Linked DNA regions of Saccharomyces cerevisiae S288C. The main gene of each other region encodes a partner of the protein of the gene in region 3 in a complex. Each region holds a gene or a part of one and is shown on either strand. Other genes may lie near its edges. The genes, in order: SLD5, CDC45, CTF4 and PSF2. A codon is read from its position in the direction of its gene.

Region 1 (5,144 bases), on a different chromosome or scaffold from region 3:
GCAGAAATACCTGTGGTAGTGCCTTGGGCTACATCTACAGTTATTGTGTATGCAGTTCCATGCCTGTCGTCATCATTGGATTCAAACTTCATGCCTGTTCTCAGTAGTGGAAGGTCCAACTTATCAGCAATGGCATTCGTCATAGGTGCACAGACGTAGCCTGAGGAATGGCGTACAAGAAAGGCCATTTGTTCAGTGCTGACATTTTCAGCAGCGCAAATAAGATCACCTTCATTTTCACGACCGGCATCGTCCATAACAATTACAAACTTATTCTGCTTGAAGTGTTCTATAGCTTGATCAATTGGTGTAAACATTTTCGACGTTGCCTTTTCTTCTTTTCCTTTCCTTTTTTTTAGCCTTCTGCTTTTTGTTGGAGATATTTACATTCACCTCACATATATACGCCAATGAAAATTTCACAATAGCACGTATATTAATAATAGCCTTGCTTTTTTTTATCAATTCTCGCTAAGAAATTACTCATCAGGCAATAACCTATGCTCACCCGCCTCGAAGCGGCGTTAGGAGATAACAGTGGCCGTGTAGAGGGACGTCTTAGCATCGAAAGCCCAATTTACAACAACGAGGCGACCATCTGCACACCACACTTGACACCGTAGAGTGCGACTATTTTCCCCTCCATTGTTTTTTTCGAGCCAGCGTGCACGTAGTACGGGCCCCCCTAACAACAATGGCGCCCCTATGATAGCTTTCCCTGCTCGCGCGTCCCACAGCCGCACCGTCCAGTCCGTGGAACATGATAATAGAAGCATTAGCCGCCGAGCATCGTCCCAATGAAACTCTAACCCGGTTACCCTCGTAGAGTGGTTTTCTGCAGGTTGGAACCCATTGTTGTCCAAAGAGAGGTACAGCGGCCCAGGTTGGTCCCAGAAAACCTTGTATATACCACCGTCTTCGCCACCGATCCAGACGTACTGCGGGTCCTCACTCGTGTACGCCATGCAAGCTATACCTACCTCATCAAACTTTGCCAACCGCTGCAATCGCTCCGTATATGTGCAAGTATCATTCTCCAAAGATAAAAGCTGTGATAGCGGTACAGGACGGAGCTGCTGTGGCTTCCGCAAAACAGTCAAGTCCAGGCAGCTCAACTCCATAATATTGCCATTATCAGCTGCCACAAGTACTCTCTCTTGATCTTGCACGCTGCTTGTTTCAATTACAGCCACCACTGGGTGCTGAAAGTAGTGTCTTGCCACCATATTTCGCTGCACGACATACACTACCGGTGTTTCTGGCTTTTTCTGTTTCAATCTAAGCTCGTACAATATGATCTTGCCCGTCAAGGTCGCCAACAAGATTGATATTACATTGCTTTCCGGATGATACCGACGGAGGATCGTGGCTGTCATGATCCGCGTACCACGGAACTCTACCATATCTATCAAGAGGCCGTTGCGTCCGCTGGCATTATCGCACTTGACTACATTCACCACAGACCACGCCGCTTCGCTGCTAGCATACTGTAGGTCTGCCGGCGGCAATCGTAGATAAACCACAACCAAGACGCCTTTTCCTGGGTCATACTCCTGAGCGATACAATCGCAGTCTGTCTCTGATTGTAAATTCTCACTGACCATGTTCCATTGCATGAGGTTGTCTTTATCCTGTTGCATGTTCGATGGCGCCTGCTGGCCTGACGCAGAAACCTCTGTCTCCAGCCGCGCAAAACTAGCGTTGCTCAGCGTTGCCGCCGCCTCTTCAACAAGAAAAGGTTTGGCTAGTTCTAACCTTGGCTGGTCGTTTTCAGCTTTGTCTTTATTATTTTCGTCGGCAGCAGTAGTTTCAATGGCGACAGCATCAGTAGTGGTGTGATTTTCATTTTCTTGCAGTTGTTCTTCCTCAATTTGATCTGTTTGAATGCCTTTGTCGTATGTTATAACCTCCTTACGTCGAAGATATGCAGATTGGGGCTCTTGAATCTTTGAGCCTTCCTCCATGTCGGTCTGCACTGAAACGCTGACCATGGTTGCCTTAGCGTGCACCTCTGTGGGATGGTGGCCCATCGTCTCGCTCCCAGGGAACAAGCTGGCTTGTTTTCGCCTCTCACGCAGCTCTTTCAATTGTCTCCTTTTTTCCTCCAGTTGCTTCAATCGCTCCATCTTAATGTTTCAATCCTTCTTCCTCTTTGGTTGATTAACCAACTGTGATGCTCTTTTTTCCCTTTTCTCTTTGTTTACGGCAAAACACGAAAACTAGTTCATTTCTTTTTCTTTTCGCCTTGGACTAGTACTGAAAATTTCAATAGCATTATATTTGAGCCATAGGTAAGAAAAACCAAATTTGTTAGTATTGGGAAGGAGAATAAGATACCTGACTCGGTGATGGACATTAACATAGACGATATTCTTGCAGAACTGGATAAGGAAACTACTGCTGTCGACTCTACCAAGATCACGCAAGGTTCTTCTTCCACTACCCACAGAGATGCAAATACAATAGTGGGTTCGTCCTTAGACTTGAATGACAAGACTCAGATATATGTCTCTCCCCAGCAGGATTTTTCTGACTTGATGAAGTCTTGGAAAAATGAACGGTGTTCGCCAGAACTCTTACCATATCCTCATCAGTTGATGAAAAGATTATTGAATCGAATATCCATGCAATCTCAATTAATTGAAAACATTTCAATGGGATTCCTCGATATGCAAAATGCTTCTAATGCGAACCCGCCTATGCCTAACGAATCTAAATTGCCTTTACTCTGCATGGAAACTGAGTTAGAAAGATTGAAATTTGTTATTAGAAGCTACATACGATGTAGGCTAAGCAAAATTGACAAATTCTCACTTTATTTGCGCCAATTAAATGAAGATGAAAATTCGCTGATCTCTCTTACAGATTTACTATCCAAAGATGAAATCAAATACCATGACACGCATTCCCTGATCTGGTTGAAACTAGTCAATGATTCTATCCTGAAATACATGCCCGAAGAACTTCAGGCTATTAATGATACAGAAGGTAGCGTAAACATGATAGATGAGCCCGACTGGAACAAATTTGTCTTTATACACGTTAACGGCCCACCAGATGGTAAATGGAACGAAGATCCGCTATTGCAGGAAAACGAGTTCGGTAAACCTTGCTACACGGTCACAATACCCGATTTAAAGGAAGAGGTTGAACTCACTATTGGAAGTATTTACGTTATGAGATATGAAGTCATTAGGGATCTGCTGAGAGACGACAAAGTTGCTCTTATTTGAACTATTATGCATTACACTTTCCCCTTCACCATGTCTTACATATGCATATATATATATTATCAAGCACAGTTTCATTTTTCATCTGTCCGTGTCATGTTTTTCCGCATTTGTGTCGATCTTGCCAGCAATTTTGAGTAATTAGATGACGATCGGGTCTGCAACGAAGTGGGACGTTTTGTGTGAAGTGCGCCTTCTTCGGGTGTCTTTAAGATGCAACGGTCCGGTAAACCATTTATTAGCCTATTCGATTGAGGTACGGGAGGAGCTTGATTCTTTTTTTTTGTATTCTGTCTTTTTTGAAGAATGAACTTATCAAACATTTTATGGTCCGACTTCGGCGATACTACTTTAGGTTTGGCGGTCATTCCATTATGTATTAATTTCCATAGTTTCATTAAAACTGCTCTCTCTTTGCATCCTATGAAAATCGTCCTGGAACCGTCAATTTCAAGGACTTGATCACTTATAAAGCGTATCTTCTCAACGTCATTCAACTCTAGTTCGAATTGCAATTCAAATTCCTGTTCTTCCCACATGCTGAGACTTCTTCTCTTGACAAAAACAAGTGCTCTGCCTAGGTTTGTTATTAGAAACATTTTCTTGTAAAATTTGCCTGCACTATCAGTAGGAGGCTCGATATCAAGAGGGTTCTTGTAGTCCAGAGCCACGTTCTCAAGACCTACAGGTGAGTCCTCTAAGTTTCGTGTGGAAAGCGCTACCTCCTTCATCAACAAGACACGTTCATCCATATTTTGCAAGTAGCGTGACCAGAAGGCGTCAGAAGAGCGACTTCTATTATCTTTCCCCCGTGATGTAGTAGAAATTGAAGGAGATGATACAGATGCGCGATTTTTTGAAACCTTCTTTTGAATTACCTCGCGATCTGTGTTGTTGGAGGCAGATCTAACAGATGTGCTTGACTTGCTCCCCAATTTGGGTTGACTTGTATAATCTTTATTGAATGCGGCGGTTGCTGCAGTCATACTGATCACAGAATGCTCTTGAGAGGTCGCTGCTGGTGCTTGCAGGGGAGTATCTGCATGTCCATTACCAGCCAGCTGAAGGTTGGCCATTTTGACAGTGGTATCAGATTCAGAAACCTTTTGCAGGGGCTTCATCGCCTCTGCATTTATTTTATATGGCTGTATCTCCGGTGGATTATCATCCCAAACAGAACCATCTTCAAAGTTGACTTCATGGAAAAAGAGGTGTGCTTTGATCTGCTTTATGGTCAATCTATCATTTGGATCCCTAACTAATAGTTTTTTAACTAAATCTTTTACTATTTGCGGAAAACCTGCAGTAAACGCATATTGAATCTTCATTACTTTTTGGAATGTCAAATATTCATTGGCAGCTTTAAAAGGCGGTTTTCCCGCAAGCATTTGGTACAATATGCAACCAAATGCCCAAATGTCACAACGGGAATCTGTATAATTATCATTCAGTAGCTCAGGAGAAACATATTCTGCGGTACCAACAAATGATTTCGACTTAGCATACAAATCGAAATAAGGCTTGCCATCTGCGGTGTTCGAAGGTTCCTCCGGTAAAATTTTGGCTGTACCAAAATCCGTCAACTTCACTTTCATATTTTTGTCGAGCAATATGTTTTCGGGCTTGATATCCCTGTGAATAATGCCGATATTATGCAAGGAGTCAACGGCATCGATGATCTGCGACGCATAATAGCGTGCACATGTCTCGTTTAAAGATCCATATTTCTTAATCAAGCCCAAGAAATCACCGTGGGGGGCATATTCTAGAAGGAAATACAAGCTTGCCTCGTCCTGGAAAGTGAAGAAAAGCTTGAATATGCCCTTGGTGCCATTCAGCTTCTGCAAAGCCAATTTCTCCACTGTGACGTATTTAACTTTTTTTTGACGGATCAGATATTCTTTACTCAACACT
Region 2 (6,256 bases), on a different chromosome or scaffold from region 3:
CACTTTATTTTAATGATGATAGCATGATTTATGTTGCTCGAAGTTAATCGATGTGAGCACAATGATTTCTCAAGACTACAACGGTATCTGAATTTTATTTCTTGTCAAAAATGTTTTATAGAAGCCACTCTTGCTATAGATTTATATTGCCACACATAACTTTTTCACGTAAATTTGAAAGAGCTATATTAGCTGGTGCTTTCACTAACATCTCTTTGCTCTAGTATTTCATTTCGGTGCATAAAACATTTGAACTTCCATCGAAATTCAATATGCTAAAACGTTTCATTGTAACACGACGCTGAAAAGACAATAAGTACGAAGGACTCAAGAAGGAGCATGTCTAAAGGGAGGGTCAATCAGAAGCGTTACAAGTATCCTCTTCCAATTCACCCCGTAGATGACCTTCCAGAGTTAATCCTTCATAATCCGTTATCTTGGCTATATTGGGCATACCGCTATTACAAGAGTACGAACGCACTGAACGATAAAGTACATGTAGATTTTATAGGAGATACCACTCTTCACATCACGGTTCAAGATGACAAGCAAATGCTATATCTTTGGAATAATGGATTTTTTGGCACTGGTCAATTTAGCAGGAGTGAGCCTACATGGAAAGCTAGAACAGAGGCCAGACTGGGTCTCAATGATACTCCCCTCCACAATCGGGGAGGAACAAAGAGTAATACTGAAACGGAGATGACTTTAGAGAAGGTCACACAACAGAGGAGATTACAAAGATTAGAGTTCAAGAAAGAACGTGCGAAGTTAGAAAGAGAATTACTAGAATTAAGAAAAAAAGGTGGTCATATCGATGAGGAAAACATCCTCCTTGAGAAACAACGAGAATCATTAAGAAAATTTAAACTAAAACAAACAGAAGACGTGGGCATCGTTGCACAACAGCAAGACATTTCCGAATCAAATTTAAGAGATGAAGACAACAATCTTCTTGATGAGAACGGTGATCTTTTGCCACTAGAGTCACTAGAACTAATGCCAGTGGAAGCTATGTTTTTAACTTTTGCACTTCCTGTTCTTGACATATCTCCCGCGTGCCTGGCAGGGAAACTGTTTCAATTCGATGCCAAATATAAAGATATTCACTCCTTTGTCAGATCATACGTTATATACCATCACTACAGATCACACGGTTGGTGCGTAAGATCTGGTATAAAATTCGGCTGCGATTATTTATTATATAAGAGAGGGCCACCATTTCAACACGCTGAATTTTGTGTTATGGGTCTTGACCACGACGTCTCTAAAGATTATACGTGGTATTCTAGCATAGCCCGTGTTGTGGGCGGCGCAAAGAAGACGTTTGTGTTATGCTACGTGGAGAGACTAATCTCGGAACAGGAGGCGATAGCACTATGGAAATCAAACAACTTTACTAAATTGTTCAATAGTTTTCAAGTTGGTGAAGTATTGTATAAGAGATGGGTTCCCGGAAGAAATAGAGACTAGAATATCAATGAGAAGATAAATCCTTCGTATGTATATATGTATGTGTATGTATTTTTTATACAGATTTCAATGGTTTTTGTAAGCATCTGATACCCATCCACAATCCCTAAACCCCTTGTTCTTTGCTTTGGGGCCCTTGACAGGGTCATCATATATTGCTCTAAACTTTTCATTGTGTGTGGCTGGTTTGGATATGCAAACAAATTTATTATCAGGAAGGACACATTTCAACTGAGATTTAGGGAAGGGACAAGGACAGTCTTTCTGCTGTGCAACGCACGTTAGGGTGTCCGGACACAAATACCCATCACAAGGGTTATTTAAAACTTGATCTTCATATGATTGTTGCTGTTGCTGTTGCTGTTGCTGATGATGACCGAAATTGAAGAAGGCATTCACTCCAGTGCTGCCAAAAATAAACAATGCAAAGATGAGAACGATACTCCAGCGACTTTGACTCATACTACAGTAAAATTTGGTCGTTTTTTGCCTGGCAAACCATGCCTATTTTTCGTCATTAAAGGTCTTCTGAGCTTTCATCAAAATTATCTCTATAATTATAAAGGACAGCTCAGAGCCACACCCAAACATCTGCAAAGGTAAAGGCCATCTTTCATCTCACATTGCCTAACAAGAAAGTCACATTGCAATTGTTTCGAGAAGAAAACATTAATTCAATTACGTGGTTCCCATGCGTCTGTGTTAAGCGTCAATTTATCATTTGACGAACTCGTTGCAACCACAAACAAAGCAAGGGCCGCATTTATCAAAGGAAAACCAACCAAAAGCATAAATAAACGAGATTTTTATTATGAAAAAGCCATGCGAATCCTACTAGAATAAATTCAAAGTGAAGACATTTAGTCAATTCGATCTTCTCTCTCTTGCTTTAACTAGTCGTAAAACCTAATAAGTTTCATTCACGACGCGTATTTTTTTTTCAACATATCATCTAACGCGTTTTAAGAAATTTCAGTAAATAATGAAGCTGTAGTAATGCCAACAATCCATTGTGGCTACTTTATACAACGCACTATAGAGCAATAAAAGTGTAGCAATAAACACTAGAGAGAAGGCACATAATAACAAGAATATACTCTCGCACATGTATTATGGAATCAGCCAGTTTAGCGAAGCCTACAACAAAATCTTAAGGAATTCATCGTCTCATTCATCATGTCAATTGGTCATTTTCGTTTCTTGTCTTAACATCGATGCGCTGTGTGCGACGAAGATGTTGTCACTATTATTCAAAAAACAATTGGTACAATCTCAAATAGTACCGATATTTGGGTACTCTGAATTACGACGCCACTATTCTCAATTGGATGACAATATAAATAGTCTGCTATTAGTAGGGTTTGGAGGCGTTATTGATCTGGAGGCTTTCTTAGAAATCGATCCCCAAGAGTATGTTATCGATACAGATGAAAAGTCGGGGGAACAAAGTTTCAGGAGAGACATCTACGTGTTGGATGCTCATAGACCGTGGAATCTCGACAATATATTTGGATCACAAATCATCCAATGTTTTGACGACGGTACGGTGGATGACACATTAGGCGAACAAAAAGAAGCATACTATAAATTGCTTGAACTGGACGAGGAGAGTGGTGACGATGAGCTCTCAGGTGACGAGAACGATAATAATGGGGGTGACGATGAGGCAACTGATGCCGATGAAGTCACAGACGAGGACGAAGAAGACGAAGATGAGACAATATCTAATAAAAGAGGTAATTCTTCAATAGGACCGAATGATCTCTCAAAAAGAAAGCAACGAAAGAAGCAAATCCATGAATATGAAGGTGTTTTGGAGGAATACTATTCTCAAGGCACAACAGTGGTTAACTCGATATCTGCACAAATCTATTCATTATTGTCTGCTATCGGAGAAACAAATCTTTCAAACCTGTGGTTGAATATACTTGGTACGACCTCGTTAGATATAGCATATGCTCAAGTTTACAATCGATTATACCCCTTATTGCAAGATGAAGTGAAGCGTCTCACACCAAGCAGTAGAAACTCAGTAAAGACCCCTGATACATTGACGTTAAACATCCAACCGGATTACTACCTTTTCTTACTGAGGCATTCTTCATTGTACGACAGTTTTTATTATTCTAACTATGTCAATGCCAAACTATCCCTATGGAATGAAAATGGGAAAAAGAGATTGCATAAGATGTTTGCTAGAATGGGTATACCATTAAGTACTGCACAAGAAACATGGTTATACATGGATCATTCTATTAAGAGAGAACTTGGGATAATATTTGACAAAAATTTGGATCGTTATGGGTTGCAAGATATAATTAGAGATGGGTTTGTTAGAACTCTTGGATATCGTGGGTCCATAAGTGCCAGTGAATTTGTCGAAGCACTAACAGCTCTTTTGGAAGTAGGTAATTCAACTGATAAGGATAGTGTGAAAATAAATAATGACAATAATGACGATACAGATGGAGAGGAAGAAGAAGATAACAGCGCTCAAAAATTGACGAATTTGAGAAAAAGATGGGTTTCGAATTTTTGGCTCAGTTGGGATGCTCTAGATGACAGAAAGGTGGAACTATTAAACCGTGGCATTCAACTAGCACAAGACTTACAGAGAGCAATTTTTAATACCGGGGTTGCTATATTGGAGAAGAAATTAATCAAGCATTTAAGAATTTATAGATTATGCGTCTTACAAGACGGACCCGATTTAGACTTGTACAGAAACCCATTGACGTTATTAAGATTAGGAAATTGGCTCATAGAATGCTGTGCGGAATCTGAAGACAAGCAATTGTTGCCCATGGTGCTTGCCAGCATAGATGAAAATACGGACACTTACTTGGTTGCTGGGTTAACACCTAGGTATCCTCGCGGACTAGACACGATACACACAAAAAAACCTATTTTGAATAATTTCAGCATGGCGTTTCAACAAATAACTGCAGAAACGGATGCTAAAGTGAGAATAGATAATTTTGAAAGTTCCATAATTGAAATACGTCGTGAAGATCTTTCACCATTCCTGGAGAAGCTGACCTTGAGTGGATTGTTATAATCAAATTTATATTATTTAGTCGTACATATATACCAGCATATGAATATAAAATCTAAGCTTTTTCAAGCTTTTAAGTCCAACTTTTCTATAATAATACCATATTTTGTGCGCGGCTCTTGACAAAACAAAAAAAAAAACCTAAATAAAAGGAAATTAAGAACAGGGAACTAGGTTTGGAAGGACAAATTCAGGAAGGAAAGAAATAGCTGTGACAAAGTAAGATGAACCAAAATGGTGATAAGAACGAAGGCAAGTTGTTTCAACTACCGTCATTGCCGCCCTGGAAAACACCAAGGTTCAACAAAGCCAACTTTAACAATTTTACCACACCGCTACGGAAAAGGTCGACAAGGGTAATAAATGATGATTCGATGCCCATAACAGGCGAAGTACTAGAGGAGAGGACTGCAGATGATCTCTATGGGATAAATATGGACGTAGACGAAGTCGACTATCTGAATACTTTGAGCCACATCGAGGAAGAAAAGCAATACGATTATTCACCGTTTTGTGAGCGCAATACGCTAAGGGAAAGTAGAATTGACAGTTTTTTGAAAGCCGAAAGGGCAGCACATTGTCTTGTGTTTCATAAGGTGGGCCATCTAGACGGCATAGACAGCTATCGACCCGATATTGACATCATGTGCGGCGAAGAGGCTAATAAATATGACAGTGCGAATCCGGAGGGCAATGGTTCAATGTTGTTAGAGAGTGTACCTGGATGCAACAAAGAAGACCTGGAGAGGTTATCAAGGCGAGAATTTGTAACAAATTCGAAACCTAATATGAGACGGTTGGATGACATAATAAATCATGAAACGAACGCCTTAAAAAGTTTCTGGAACGACTCAGGATTAGTCAATTCACTCCAAAGTCATCATTTGCATGAAGAGTACCTTCTTTTGCAAGAAGAATTAAAGAATGTGTACAAGATTAAATGCCATGACAGAGTGCCAATAGAAAGTCTACGCGATAAGTGCAGAAGACACTATAGCAACGAGGATAGTTCGTTTCTCTGACAGAGGCAATGCCTTTTTTGCTTCACGTGTATATATATCAGTTGATATGCGTTTTCTATACAGACATACATGTATATACACACATATATATATATACATATGTACGCAGAGATATATTAAATGGGGGTTCTAGTTTCAACAATTTGATCTTTCAGTTTCTCGTCCCATTCCAGTTTCTTCTTCTGTATATAAGCGAAGACATCAGACATTCCAGTAGGGTCTATTTCCTGCGTCTTGATATATGGCATACCATCCCTAGAGGTAGCAGAACCGTATTTTACGTCTTGTTTCTCAAAGTTTGGATTGGCCAATCTAGTTACGTATACTGGGGCATTGGCAGCTTTATAACCATCAATATTGTGCCATGGAGACCCCAACAGCCTGGCCAAATAGAACAAGCATAGCATGCCGAAATAGGTGAAAAAATTCAAATATTCGGAGAAGGAATGGCTTGTAAATATGCCCGGTTGAACTACATACTGATTTATGCCCAGCTTTTTCAAGTCTTTGTAGGTGGCCAAATGCAGTAAATCAACTAAACGCTTGGAGCCCTCATAAGAGGCATTTGTCTTTAGTAGTTCAATATCGTTCAACGAAAGATACTTAGGATCGGACATAATACTCGAAATCCAAACAATATAAGCCTTTCCCCTGGTCAATTGAGGCAGAATTTTACTGATAAAGTAGTACGGACCAAACACATTGG
Region 3 (7,121 bases):
CAACTGTGCTGCAATATTCATTTCGTCTTTAAGCCTTAGAATTTTTTCATCCAAGTACTGTTCTAAATCGTCTTCATCCCTCCTCGTTCTTCTAACCTTTGGTTTTTTCAATATACGGTCCAGTTTTTCTTCCAATTCCTGTCTACTACTTGGAGTAGCACTTGAATCTCTATCTTTACTAGCCCTATTTTCCACCGTTGGTTGAAGACTCTGATCATTATGCTCCTCCTTTTCTAGGTCGTCATCTGAGAAATCTGTGCTAATGTGCTTACGTTTCCTTTCTGCAGCTTCTACGTTACTATTTTCGTCTATTGCGGCTTCCTCGTTCTTTTCTCCGTTATCTGGGTCTTTAGTATCATTGGAGGTACCTTTTGAAGTTTCTTGGGGTTCCATACTTTGATTTTGTTTTGTATTTTCATTCTCAGCGTTTATAGTTGACTTTTGGGAGGAAGCTGTCCCATCTTCTGGTGTCGCTTCCACCACTTTGGGTTGTTCTTGATCGGCTGTACTCATTGCTAATTGATATGTTTTTGCCTTTTATTACTAAAAGTTCCTCTATATATACTTCAGAGGACAATAAACTCCCTTGATATGGCCTGCATATACTTTACAAGTGCTATCAAACAAAGATGCTGGGCAATGAAGCTGACAGTTAACTCTTCCAAAACTTCCCTTCAAAGAAATTGTGAGAGAAAAAAACCTTCTTGTTACCCTTCTTTGGAAGAATACCGCACATCATAAAATCAAGAAATGAATTCGAAAGTTTACTCTTTCTTTCTAGAGGCGTTACACCAATATTAGCGAATTGCAGTTTCCCACAAAAGGCGTCCATTGGCATCAAATAACTAGATAGTATAAAATGTTTGGTCTACCTCAACAGGAAGTCTCCGAAGAGGAGAAAAGAGCTCATCAAGAACAAACTGAGAAAACCTTGAAACAGGCCGCTTATGTGGCTGCGTTTCTTTGGGTTTCCCCAATGATCTGGCATTTGGTGAAAAAGCAATGGAAATAATTCCCCACTGAAGAAAAAAGATTGCATCTATGAATGACACTAAAATATGTTTCTCTTTTTGTATTTGCTTTTGATTAAATAATGGTCAATTTGCGCCCCCCACCTTATATAGTTTAGAGAAAGACGTGTAAATATTTTTTAAAAAATTGATACTGCTCTAATGAGCCTAAATCTCCTTTCTTCGCTTGTATATATGCGTATTCTGTATGTTTGTCCAGGCAGATTTTTCGGCTTTTTTTACCAGCTTTTATTATTAAAATGTGATAACCTTAATTGAAGGTTGCGATACAAAATAATCCTTTATTACGCATAACCAAGGAAAAGAGAAAATCAGTGCACATATGGGTTTACCTGAAGTTAACTTTCTTCGAAAAAACTGCATACTTGTGGAGTTAAAATTATTCTATCAAACAGTATACCCACCGAAGGAACTATATTGGAATAACCGAATAACTGCAGAATTGAGTACATTCTCCAATATTAAGTATGCAAGGCCGACTTTCGCAGTAAATAATGGCACATTTCAGAGAACAAGACCGAAATTAGACTTGGTACTGGCTTCATCTGATATTCGTAAGCTGGCTACGGTTTTATTTAATTTAAAAGCTCTCATAATGAATACGAAGGGTGAGGAACCCACTCTAACCACGATGACTAGTGTCCAAACGAACGAAGAGAAAAATGATAACCTGGAACAGAAATATTCAAGTCTGCTAGATAGATGGAATGGGAAAGTAGAAGTGCATGATTCTCCTTTCCTTCAACTCCAACGGGACAGCAACCTTTTGTTTGCTGAGAGGCCGGTACGTTACGTTAGCACTACAGAAGGTGAAGGCGTGGACATATCTAGTGAAGAGTTTTTCAGGTTAGAGGAAGAACAGTGCCGAAGGAATTATGATGTTTTGGTCGATGAACATTCTACACCATCAGTCGGGATGAAAGACGGCCAATACGGACCAAATATAATTCACTTTGAACCGTCGCTGTACCACACATATTCTTCTCTACCAATGAGTATGAAATTTTGGTTAAATGGTCTAGAAGACGACGAAACGACGATGATGAACATTGATGAGAAGTCAGCCGAAAATCTGGATATATTATTACATGGTTTCAAAGGATTTTCGAACAAGCGCGTTAAAGGATGAATTAATCATCCTCTTCATGTACTACTTATGTCCAATTTGAGTGTAAAATCACAGGTACAAGGCTTATCCATATTCGTATATATCTTCATAATGTTTCATAATTGCTTCAGAAAATTATTCAAAACGTCTTGTGATATTCATTAGGTGAAATCGTAGTTTGCCTGATACTTGAAAGAATCTCACCTGGAGAATGGGTGTTTTCACTAAGATTCGTTAATTTCCACTAATGATTAATTGTTAACTGTTTAACGCGACGCGTAATAAAGTTTCCTGAATACGCCAACATATGGGAACATATAGATTAAATTAATAAGAAAGCTTGGGAAAAATAATTGAGAAGGGCAAGAAGTGACGTAAATATACTAGACGTACTATTATGGTTTCAGTTATAGACAAGCTTGTTTTTGACTTTGGTGGGAAAACTCTGGTCTCTCTCGCACCAGATAATAATACTTTGTGTGTAGCCAATAAAAATGGCTTAACCAAGATTCTGAAGACAAATAACCCAGAAGAAGAGCCAGAGACTTTAGATTCTTCCAAATTGGTCTCGTCTATAAAATGCTATTCAAACTCGCACTTTCTGATGACTACAATGCAAGGTGATGCTCTTAGGTATAACATCGATTCTAGTCAAGAAGAATTATTGGCTAGATTTGCTTTACCCCTACGTGACTGCTGTGTTATTCATTCAGGTAAAATGGCCGTATTTGGAGGAGACGACTTAGAACTAATCCTTTTGGAATTGGACGATGAAACACACAAAAAACATGCCATTAAAATCGATGAACAAGTTTCTCAAATTTCTTACAATTCACAGATGAATATTTTAGCAGTTTCAATGATAAATGGTAAGGTACAAATTTTTTCTCTGACATCTACTATTCCAAACAAAGTTCATGAGTTAAATGATTACATAGTGGCCAATTCATATGATGATACACACAGAGATAAGATACTCTCGAATATGATGGATGATATAGATAAAGACAATGATAATGACCTGAGTGAAACGGCTGATCCAGATGAGAACAATGTAGCTGATCCAGAATTCTGTGCTGCTAATAGAATTTGCACGAGAGTGGCTTGGCATCCGAAGGGTCTGCATTTTGCGCTACCATGTGCAGATGATACAGTAAAAATATTCTCTATAAAGGGATATTCCCTACAAAAGACGTTGTCCACAAATCTCTCATCAACAAAGGCTCATTTCATTGATTTGCAATTTGACCCGTTACGTGGAACTTACATTGCGGCAGTAGATTTAAATAATAAGTTAACGGTATGGAATTGGGAAACTTCCGAGATCCACTACACCAGGGAATTCAAAAGAAAAATTACTAATATTGCCTGGAAAATCCAAGCGGACTCAAAAACTCTAGACCTTGTTTTAGGTACCTGGTCCGGTAGTATAGCCATTGTCCAAAATTTGGCAGAGTCCGTAGTATCTAATATACCTGACCAATCTGTTGCTGAATCTTCAACTAAACATGGGCTTTTTGTAGACTCCGAATCTGACTTGGAAAACTTAGAGGGAAATGATGATATAAACAAAAGCGATAAGCTATTTTCAGATATTACTCAAGAAGCGAATGCGGAAGATGTGTTCACTCAAACACACGACGGCCCCAGTGGATTAAGTGAAAAGAGAAAATACAACTTCGAAGATGAAGAAGACTTTATTGATGATGACGATGGTGCTGGTTATATTAGTGGCAAAAAACCACATAATGAACATTCTTATTCGAGAGTACACAAGACTCATTCGTTTCCAATCAGTTTGGCAAACACAGGAAAATTTCGTTATATGCCTTTTTCTCCAGCGGGAACACCTTTTGGCTTTACTGACAGGCGTTATTTGACAATGAATGAAGTGGGCTACGTATCTACTGTCAAGAATAGTGAGCAATACAGCATAACTGTCTCTTTTTTTGATGTTGGACGTTTTAGAGAATACCATTTCGAGGACTTATTTGGCTACGATTTATGCTTCCTAAATGAAAAAGGCACTTTATTTGGCCAATCCAAAACTGGGCAGATACAATATAGGCCACACGATAGCATACATTCAAACTGGACCAAGATTATTCCTTTGCAAGCTGGTGAGAGAATAACAAGTGTGGCAGCCACCCCGGTTCGCGTTATTGTTGGTACATCATTAGGCTATTTCAGAAGTTTCAATCAATTCGGGGTTCCATTTGCTGTTGAAAAGACATCCCCAATTGTAGCGCTTACTGCTCAGAATTATAGGGTTTTTTCAGTACATTATTCGCAGTTTCATGGCCTTTCATACTCTTTATCTGAATTGGGTACTTCTAGTAAAAGGTACTATAAAAGAGAGTGTCCACTTCCAATGAGTTTACCAAACATTAATTCTGATATGAAAAAAGACGCAAATCTTGACTACTACAATTTTAATCCGATGGGCATCAAAAGTTTGTTCTTTTCAAGCTACGGAGATCCATGCATTTTTGGGTCCGACAACACGCTTCTATTGTTATCAAAGTGGAGATCACCAGAAGAAAGTAAATGGCTCCCTATTCTAGATAGCAACATGGAAATATGGAAGATGTCAGGAGGGAAGGAAACGACAGATATACATGTCTGGCCCTTGGCTTTGGCGTATGACACATTGAATTGTATCTTAGTTAAGGGCAAGCATATATGGCCCGAGTTTCCCCTTCCGTTGCCATCCGAAATGGAGATTAGAATGCCAGTATTTGTTAAGAGTAAATTACTAGAGGAAAACAAAGCTATATTAAATAAAAAGAACGAAATTGGAGCTGACACCGAAGCGGAAGAAGGGGAAGAAGACAAAGAAATACAGATTCCTGTTTCTATGGCGGCGGAAGAAGAGTATCTGCGCAGCAAGGTTTTGTCAGAGCTGTTGACAGATACACTCGAAAATGACGGTGAAATGTACGGCAACGAAAATGAGGTATTGGCAGCATTGAACGGTGCATATGATAAGGCTTTGTTACGTTTATTTGCGTCTGCATGCTCAGACCAAAATGTTGAAAAGGCTCTTTCGCTTGCTCATGAATTAAAACAAGATAGAGCACTTACTGCAGCCGTTAAGATATCAGAAAGAGCTGAGCTGCCCTCTCTCGTTAAAAAAATTAATAATATAAGGGAAGCTAGATATGAACAGCAATTGAAATAAAAAAATGTAAAATATATATACGCAAGAGACAATTATTTGATACCTGTTCATTTGTTCAAATCATCGTTCAAAATGCTCCCACATTAACATATATTTCTTTGAATGCGACGATAATAAAGAGTTACGTTGAACATGATCTGAGCTGGAAGCGTCCTTGCGAATTTTCGCGAAAGGAAAAAGTGAAAAAATATGAAAAAAAAAAAAAGAGATGACATTTTATAGATGAGCTTTGATTAAACAGTGTAACACCTGGTCCTGTACCGTAAATATTCAAATAAGCATCAATTCAAAGTTCTTTATTTCTTCTTTAGCATTTCAAAATTATAGAAAATCTAGAAAAGATGTCAGATGTTACCCAACAGAAAAAGAGGAAAAGATCCAAAGGAGAAGTTAATCCATCAAAACCCACAGTAGACGAAGAAATCACAGATCCATCCTCAAACGAAGATGAACAACTAGAAGTTTCGGATGAAGAAGACGCATTGGAATCTGAAGAAGAATTCGAGGGTGAAAATCCAGCCGATAAAAGAAGGAGGCTTGCAAAGCAATATCTGGAGAATCTGAAAAGCGAAGCTAATGACATTTTAACTGATAATAGGAACGCTGAAGAAAAAGATTTAAACAATCTCAAGGAAAGAACAATCGACGAGTACAACAATTTTGATGCTGGAGATTTGGATAAGGATATCATTGCGTCCAGGTTAAAAGAAGACGTTGCTGAACAGCAAGGCCGAGTCTTCAGATATTTTGGCGATAAACTTCTAATATCTGAAGCAAAACAGAGCTTTACCAGGGTAGGGGAAAATAACCTTACTTGCATTAGTTGTTTCCAACCCGTTTTAAACAAATACACCTTCGAGGAATCATCTAATGGCGATAAGAACAAAGGTAGGTTATTTGCCTATACAGTTAGCAAAGACTTACAACTCACCAAATATGACATTACTGACTTTAGCAAAAGACCAAAGAAGCTAAAATACGCTAAAGGAGGAGCAAAATATATACCTACGAGCAAGCACGAATATGAGAATACCACAGAAGGCCATTATGACGAAATCTTAACTGTAGCAGCCTCACCAGATGGTAAATATGTTGTCACAGGTGGAAGAGATAGGAAGTTAATTGTATGGAGCACAGAATCTCTATCACCCGTTAAAGTTATTCCAACAAAGGATCGCCGAGGGGAAGTTTTATCGTTGGCTTTTAGAAAAAATTCTGATCAGTTATATGCATCCTGCGCAGATTTTAAGATAAGAACATATTCAATAAATCAATTTTCCCAGTTGGAGATTCTTTATGGGCATCATGATATAGTGGAAGATATATCTGCGTTGGCGATGGAAAGGTGTGTTACCGTTGGTGCCCGTGATAGAACAGCTATGCTTTGGAAGATTCCTGACGAGACCAGACTAACATTTAGAGGTGGCGATGAACCTCAAAAGCTACTAAGGAGATGGATGAAAGAAAACGCTAAGGAGGGAGAAGATGGAGAAGTCAAATATCCTGATGAATCAGAGGCACCTTTATTTTTCTGCGAGGGTAGTATTGACGTTGTGAGTATGGTGGATGATTTTCACTTTATAACAGGCTCCGATAATGGTAATATATGTCTATGGTCTCTGGCGAAGAAGAAACCTATCTTCACGGAAAGAATTGCCCATGGTATTTTACCTGAGCCCTCTTTCAATGACATTTCGGGGGAAACCGATGAAGAATTAAGAAAAAGACAGTTGCAAGGCAAGAAATTGCTACAACCATTTTGGATCACATCTCTTTACGCTATTCCATATTCGAATGTATT
Region 4 (4,784 bases), on a different chromosome or scaffold from region 3:
AACTTACTGCTTTGTAATGGTGGTCTGCTACAGGTAGAACCGCTTTGGGATACTGCAACAATGATTCAATATTTATTTTATCTCTTTCAAATACCCATTTTAGCTGCGCCATTATCATCTGTTTCATTACTGAATTCGCAAAAATCGACCTTTTTGAAGAATAAAAACGTGCTTCTAGAACATGATTATTTGAAAGACCAGGAAACAGCCAAAATCAATCCTTCTAGAGATATCACTGTGGGCGAACAAAGATCATATGAGACAAATCCTTTCATGAAAATGTTTAAGATGGGACTAAAAATTTCTTTATCATCAAAATCGATTCTTTACAATAGTTCATACACGCTAGAACCTCTCATTGAAGAATACAGTGTAGCAGCAAGTATTTACTTGCTGAACCCAACAGATTTGTGCGAGTTGTCGAGAACAAGTGTGCTATCTAGTGGCTATGAAGGTTGGTACAAGGCTCATTGGATTGGCGTTGGAGTTAAAAAGGCGCCTTACTTTGAGGAGAACGTGGGTGGGATAGATAATTGGTACGATACAGCGAAAGATACCTCGATAAAGCACAACGTTCCGATGATTAGAAGAAGATATAGAAAGGAGACATTGGATCAAGAGTGGAACTTCGTTCGGGATCACTTTGGAGTAATTAACTCCATTTGGTAGGGTAAAGTGAAATATCAACAACTTTGCATAGTAAGATATATATATTTATATAGATACCTTAAAAACTGAAAATGAAAACTTGAAAGTTAAGGAGGAGGAGAATGCGTCTTTGTTTCATGAAATATTTTTTTCATTTTCCCAACTTGGCTTGATGTCCCTGACAGACCTCATGAATTCTCTTAAACGTTTCTTGTCACGTAGTGCCCTCTTAGCGTATTGAGGGTTACCGTAGTAAAATAGTTTAAATTGGCTTTGCTTTTCATCACAGTGTTCGGGGTCTAAGTCAATCGACAAATCTAGCACAGCAACGCTACGTTGAAAATACCACTTGTTCACCACATTGTCTTTTCTGCTTCTCCAAAGTATCTCATTAGGAAATTTTTTGAACATCAAATTGAAGATTATATCAGATATACCCAGCGAGCCTTTCAAGTGTGGTAGAACGGCGAACTTATCGAGATAAACAAAGGAATTTTCCTCCGAGCCTTCATAGGTAAGAATTGCAATGCCTTCATAATCACCTATCACAATAATTGTAGCTATTTTTCCATTAATCCTTTTTATGTAGTCATGCAAATCCAAAGATCTTTTAAAGCTCTGATCGATGATGGATTTAAATTTGTTGATATCTAGTTTTGGACTATTGCTCGAGGGTTTTGCTCCTTTCTCAGGTACGTGAAACTTCTTTGGAAGCCCAATTGAGTTGAATTGAGTCAGCGTCTTATAGTCATAAGTTTTGATATGGACGCCCTTTTTGAGAACAGTTGTCACTAAAACTGCATCTGAGTTAGAAGGAGCTGCATTTACCTGTTGGGAAGGCAATTCATACCATGCGTGATCATCAAACATGTTGGCTGGTGAGTCTATCTCGCCGTCCTTTTTTTTAAACCTTGGTAAAGAAGAAGAAATTAGCGATCGGTCTGTCAATAAATTATATACTAAAGGATTTTTCCTATCTGATGATAGTGCGGCAGCTTTGACAGTTGTAATCAGTCCCGTTGCTGTAGCCGCTAGATTTGATAAAACTTTGTCCATCAATAACAGGTTTTCTAAATGATCATGGTATTCACATTCTAAGGAAGATATCTCATCTTTTTTAACGTACACCTCCATTCTGTGTAACAGGTTTTGGGAGCGTGGCTCTCGTTTGGTTAGAGTGCTTATATTGTGAGATAATGACGAGGACAAATGCTCGAGTTCCTGAGAAAGATTGATGAATACATGAGCGTTATCATTTCTCTCTCCCGAAGGTATACCTCCGGCATTATTTAGAATGAAGAATTTGTCAATGTGTGGAATATTCCCTTGGCACAGGCAATCCATAAATTTTACAACATCCTTTGTCATGAATTCTGAAGCAGTCTCTTCATTATACACATAAGGTTTCACAATTGGTATAAAATTGGAATTTCCAATATCAAAGAAACGACTCTCTTGCGAAAAAACAGAATGATATAACCCAGTGCGGGATTTAGTAAGACCCTCCTTAAGGTGAAGTGGCTTTAAATCTGCTTCTGTAACGATACTGTCAAGTAACTCTGCCTGTATATTTACATGAGTTGGCGACGGCGGAATTACAAACATAGGTCGCAAACCTAGCATTCCTAGTCTCTTTATGACACTTGAAAACTGGGACAAAATCGCTGGTGCGACTTTATGCAGGTCCCTGATAAAAAACAAACAATGATTATGCTGCCCACTATCATTTGTATATTTTGAGAGATAATCCTTAGCCTCTCGTTTTGTAGCGGTTGTATTCAGAACTGAAAGGATCAAGTTTTTTGAAGATGCATTGGGTTGATCATACTTGAGTTCATGCGCGAATATTCTCCTCCACATGATAAAAGTAACCGACTAGTGTCCTAGATTGACGGTCCTAGCTTCAAATGTGTTAACTTTCACAATTTATGTCGAACGTGCTTATGACTCCATGGGAAGATCAGTGATGACTAACCTTTTTTTTCTCCAGCGTGAAATTTCTTGTGATATTTTCCATTTAATGAAAAATCAGTCGCCTAAAGTGTAACTATGAAATGGTTAACAAAAAAGAGTTTTATACTTAGAGAGGATCAACGGCTGATCTGAAATAAGACTAGTTTCATAGACGCATGTCACTACCGGCACATTTGCAGCAGACTTTCTCACCAGAAGAAATACAGTTCATTGTGGAAAACGAGCCAATAAAGATTTTTCCCAGAATAACAACACGCCAAAAAATTCGTGGCGATGATAGAGGAACTGGAAACCACACCCGCTGGCAACTTATTACTACAGATGACAAAGCTTTAAATAATATGGTAGCCATGCGTTCTACAGAAGTGGTTCTTTGGATCGCTCTATTACTGAAGCAACAATCCAAGTGCAGTATTGTAGCACCACAGTGGTTAACGACGAAAGAGCTTGATAGAAAAATACAATATGAGAAAACTCATCCGGATAGGTTTAGTGAGTTGCCGTGGAACTGGCTTGTCTTGGCACGTATACTTTTCAATAAAGCTAAGGATGATTTTCATGACCCCATTCACGAATTACGTGGTAAAATACAAGACTTAAGGGAAATAAGGCAGATCAAAGTGTTAAAAGGCCTTAAGTATTTGAATGAATCTCATTTACAATTGGATAATTTAAGTCTATTAGAAATCAATGAGTTGAGGCCGTTCATTACTGAAATCATGGATAAACTGCGAGAAATTCACACAGCATCTCTTACCGCTGGTACTGAAAATGATGAAGAAGAATTCAATATTTAAAAAAGTGCTGGCTTTGCAATAATTAGAACTTTCAGTGATATGCGTATGTATATATATGTACTTGTTGTGGTATCCTAGTTAATGGGCATAGAATGTATTTCATCAAAGCCCAAAATTCATTTTAAAGCCATTTCCGAATGGGAAGCCACTTCCTGGATTTTTGAACATGTTATTTTGCCTAGGCCCCTGAGGAAAAGTGTTGCGGCGGGGGTTTGATCTGGAAAGATCGTATTCCTTCCTTTTATCGTCATCACTTAATGTTTCGTACGCTTCATTGATTTGTGACATAGTTTCGTGAATTGATTCTTGTTTGTCGTTATGGTTGGCCTTTATTTTGTCTGGGTGGTATTTTTTGGTTAAATTTAAATATGCTTTCCTTATTTCTTTCGAACTAGCACTAGGCGATACTCCAAGAATTTTATAATAGTCCTTTTTTGGGTCGTAGTTAGGCGCTGCTGGGGGTGCTTGATGTCGTTGGTGTTGTTGCTGCTGTTGTTGTTGTTGGAAATATTGCTGGTTGAAATTCCGATGTTTATGCTCTTTATAGGTTTGTAATTGTTTCTGTAATAATCGGAAGTTCTTCATCACGTATGGATTGGTCGACTCTGAGAGGCCGTTATCTTGGAAAAATTTGTTTATCTGGTCATATAATTGCTTTTTGAACTGTGAATGAGGTTTAGACCTACTTTTATTAAGTATTGAGTTTACCATATACATCAGCAAATGAGGATTGGAATTCCATACATCACTCAATACCGTCTCAGGTAAAGGTTTTTGCTCGGACTTAGCATCCTGATAGTGTTTCCATGTTTCTAGTGTTAGTGAATGCCTCAAACTCTTTTTACAGAACGGCGCAGCCAGTTTAGCTCTCTTGACGTCCGGACTCATGCTAGAAGCCTGACAAAGAATGGAATCAATGTATACTAGATAATCGGTATGATAGTATGATTTTGGTTTGACAAAACCATCGGTTATTGGGGGATCTTCGAATAAATTTTTTGCCAAAGGTCTCGACAGTTGAACGTCTTCTATCAATTGTTTGATAATTTCCTCTAAAAAGAAGTAGTTGTTTTTAAAGTTTGTATCTTTGTTAAGAATTTTCATTGGTGTAATAAATGGCTTCTTATCCTTCAAATAAAATTCAATAATTCTATCCCAACTTCTAAACTTTTTGTTCTCAAATGCATATGTTGCTGGATCCAGGATCTGTCTTTTTGATGGATTCACCTTGTTCAATTTGGAAATAGTCAGGCTTAGTTTTTTACATTTATCATAGTCCATATCAATGGAAAGGCATTTTCTTATATTGAACGACGCATCTGAGTTAAGTACAAAGGTCTGTAAAACAGATATGACATAATGAAT

Evidence for each region.
Region 1: the proteins of CTF4 (region 3) and SLD5 are in contact, whole or in part, in a crystal structure (PDB 4C95), measured with the Saccharomyces cerevisiae proteins. Residues at the interface, in NP_015461.1 of Saccharomyces cerevisiae: Lys864 (codon at 5,126), Leu867 (codon at 5,135), Arg868 (codon at 5,138), Ala871 (codon at 5,147), Ser875 (codon at 5,159), Arg893 (codon at 5,213), Ala894 (codon at 5,216), Ala897 (codon at 5,225), Lys900 (codon at 5,234), Ile901 (codon at 5,237), Arg904 (codon at 5,246), Ala905 (codon at 5,249); in NP_010777.3 of Saccharomyces cerevisiae: Ile3 (codon at 2,355), Asn4 (codon at 2,358), Ile5 (codon at 2,361), Asp6 (codon at 2,364), Asp7 (codon at 2,367), Ile8 (codon at 2,370), Leu9 (codon at 2,373), Glu11 (codon at 2,379), Leu12 (codon at 2,382), Asp13 (codon at 2,385), Glu15 (codon at 2,391).
Region 2: the proteins of CTF4 (region 3) and CDC45 are in contact, whole or in part, in a cryo-EM structure (PDB 6PTO), measured with the Saccharomyces cerevisiae proteins. Residues at the interface, in NP_015461.1 of Saccharomyces cerevisiae: Thr489 (codon at 4,001), Arg491 (codon at 4,007), Val505 (codon at 4,049), Asn507 (codon at 4,055), Gln510 (codon at 4,064), Ser512 (codon at 4,070), Thr514 (codon at 4,076), Ser516 (codon at 4,082), Arg524 (codon at 4,106), Glu525 (codon at 4,109), Tyr526 (codon at 4,112), His527 (codon at 4,115), Phe528 (codon at 4,118), Glu529 (codon at 4,121), Ser561 (codon at 4,217), Phe766 (codon at 4,832), Pro767 (codon at 4,835); in NP_013204.1 of Saccharomyces cerevisiae: Ser9 (codon at 2,603), Gln52 (codon at 2,732), Tyr256 (codon at 3,344), Leu259 (codon at 3,353), Ser260 (codon at 3,356), Ile262 (codon at 3,362), Gly263 (codon at 3,365), Glu264 (codon at 3,368), Thr265 (codon at 3,371), Gln296 (codon at 3,464), Asp297 (codon at 3,467), Glu298 (codon at 3,470), Lys300 (codon at 3,476), Arg301 (codon at 3,479), Leu302 (codon at 3,482), Thr303 (codon at 3,485), Pro304 (codon at 3,488), Ser305 (codon at 3,491), Ser306 (codon at 3,494).
Region 4: the proteins of CTF4 (region 3) and PSF2 are in contact, whole or in part, in a cryo-EM structure (PDB 6PTN), measured with the Saccharomyces cerevisiae proteins. Residues at the interface, in NP_015461.1 of Saccharomyces cerevisiae: Phe517 (codon at 4,085), Phe518 (codon at 4,088), Asp519 (codon at 4,091), Val520 (codon at 4,094), Gly521 (codon at 4,097), Arg522 (codon at 4,100), Leu745 (codon at 4,769), Ala746 (codon at 4,772), Ala748 (codon at 4,778), Asp750 (codon at 4,784), Thr751 (codon at 4,787), Asn753 (codon at 4,793), Cys754 (codon at 4,796), Leu756 (codon at 4,802), Leu768 (codon at 4,838), Pro769 (codon at 4,841), Leu770 (codon at 4,844), Pro771 (codon at 4,847), Ser772 (codon at 4,850), Glu773 (codon at 4,853), Tyr848 (codon at 5,078); in NP_012463.1 of Saccharomyces cerevisiae: Phe28 (codon at 2,859), Arg30 (codon at 2,865), Val64 (codon at 2,967), Ala65 (codon at 2,970), Met66 (codon at 2,973), Arg67 (codon at 2,976), Ser68 (codon at 2,979), Ser83 (codon at 3,024), Lys84 (codon at 3,027), Ile87 (codon at 3,036), Asp132 (codon at 3,171), Asp133 (codon at 3,174), Phe134 (codon at 3,177), His135 (codon at 3,180).

Annotation. Positions count from the first base shown.
Region 1 is NC_001136.10:1,428,664-1,433,807, forward strand, and holds SLD5 (DNA replication protein SLD5), read left to right. Parts: upstream 1-2,348; coding exon 2,349-3,233; downstream 3,234-5,144. Other genes in the region: 3,4-dihydroxy-2-butanone-4-phosphate synthase RIB3, read right to left, coding at 1-317; PAC11 (dynein intermediate chain), read right to left, coding at 525-2,126; serine/threonine protein kinase PKH1, read right to left, coding at 3,305-5,144. UniProt on the Saccharomyces cerevisiae protein: Required for DNA replication. Functions as part of the GINS complex which plays an essential role in the initiation of DNA replication by binding to DNA replication origins and facilitating the assembly of the DNA replication machinery.
Region 2 is NC_001144.5:342,264-348,519, reverse strand, and holds CDC45 (DNA replication initiation factor CDC45), read left to right. Parts: upstream 1-2,578; coding exon 2,579-4,531; downstream 4,532-6,256. Other genes in the region: tRNA splicing endonuclease subunit SEN2, read left to right, coding at 340-1,473; LCL2 (Lcl2p), read right to left, coding at 1,540-1,935; APC9 (anaphase promoting complex subunit 9), read left to right, coding at 4,753-5,550; ERG27 (3-keto-steroid reductase), read right to left, coding at 5,667-6,256. UniProt on the Saccharomyces cerevisiae protein: Required for initiation of chromosomal DNA replication. Acts at the origin of replication. Also has a role in minichromosome maintenance.
Region 3 is NC_001148.4:796,698-803,818, forward strand, and holds CTF4 (chromatin-binding protein CTF4), read left to right. Parts: upstream 1-2,536; coding exon 2,537-5,320; downstream 5,321-7,121. Other genes in the region: transcription factor SPN1, read right to left, coding at 1-513; TOM5 (Tom5p), read left to right, coding at 860-1,012; MSS18 (Mss18p), read left to right, coding at 1,354-2,160; ribosomal RNA-processing protein RRP9, read left to right, coding at 5,662-7,121. UniProt on the Saccharomyces cerevisiae protein: Accessory factor for DNA replication. It plays a role in accurately duplicating the genome in vivo.
Region 4 is NC_001142.9:303,856-308,639, reverse strand, and holds PSF2 (DNA replication protein PSF2), read left to right. Parts: upstream 1-2,777; coding exon 2,778-3,419; downstream 3,420-4,784. Other genes in the region: YJL070C (metallo-dependent hydrolase superfamily protein), read left to right, coding at 1-669; ARG2 (acetyl-CoA:L-glutamate N-acetyltransferase), read right to left, coding at 784-2,508; JEM1 (Jem1p), read right to left, coding at 3,522-4,784. UniProt on the Saccharomyces cerevisiae protein: Functions as part of the GINS complex which plays an essential role in the initiation of DNA replication by binding to DNA replication origins and facilitating the assembly of the DNA replication machinery.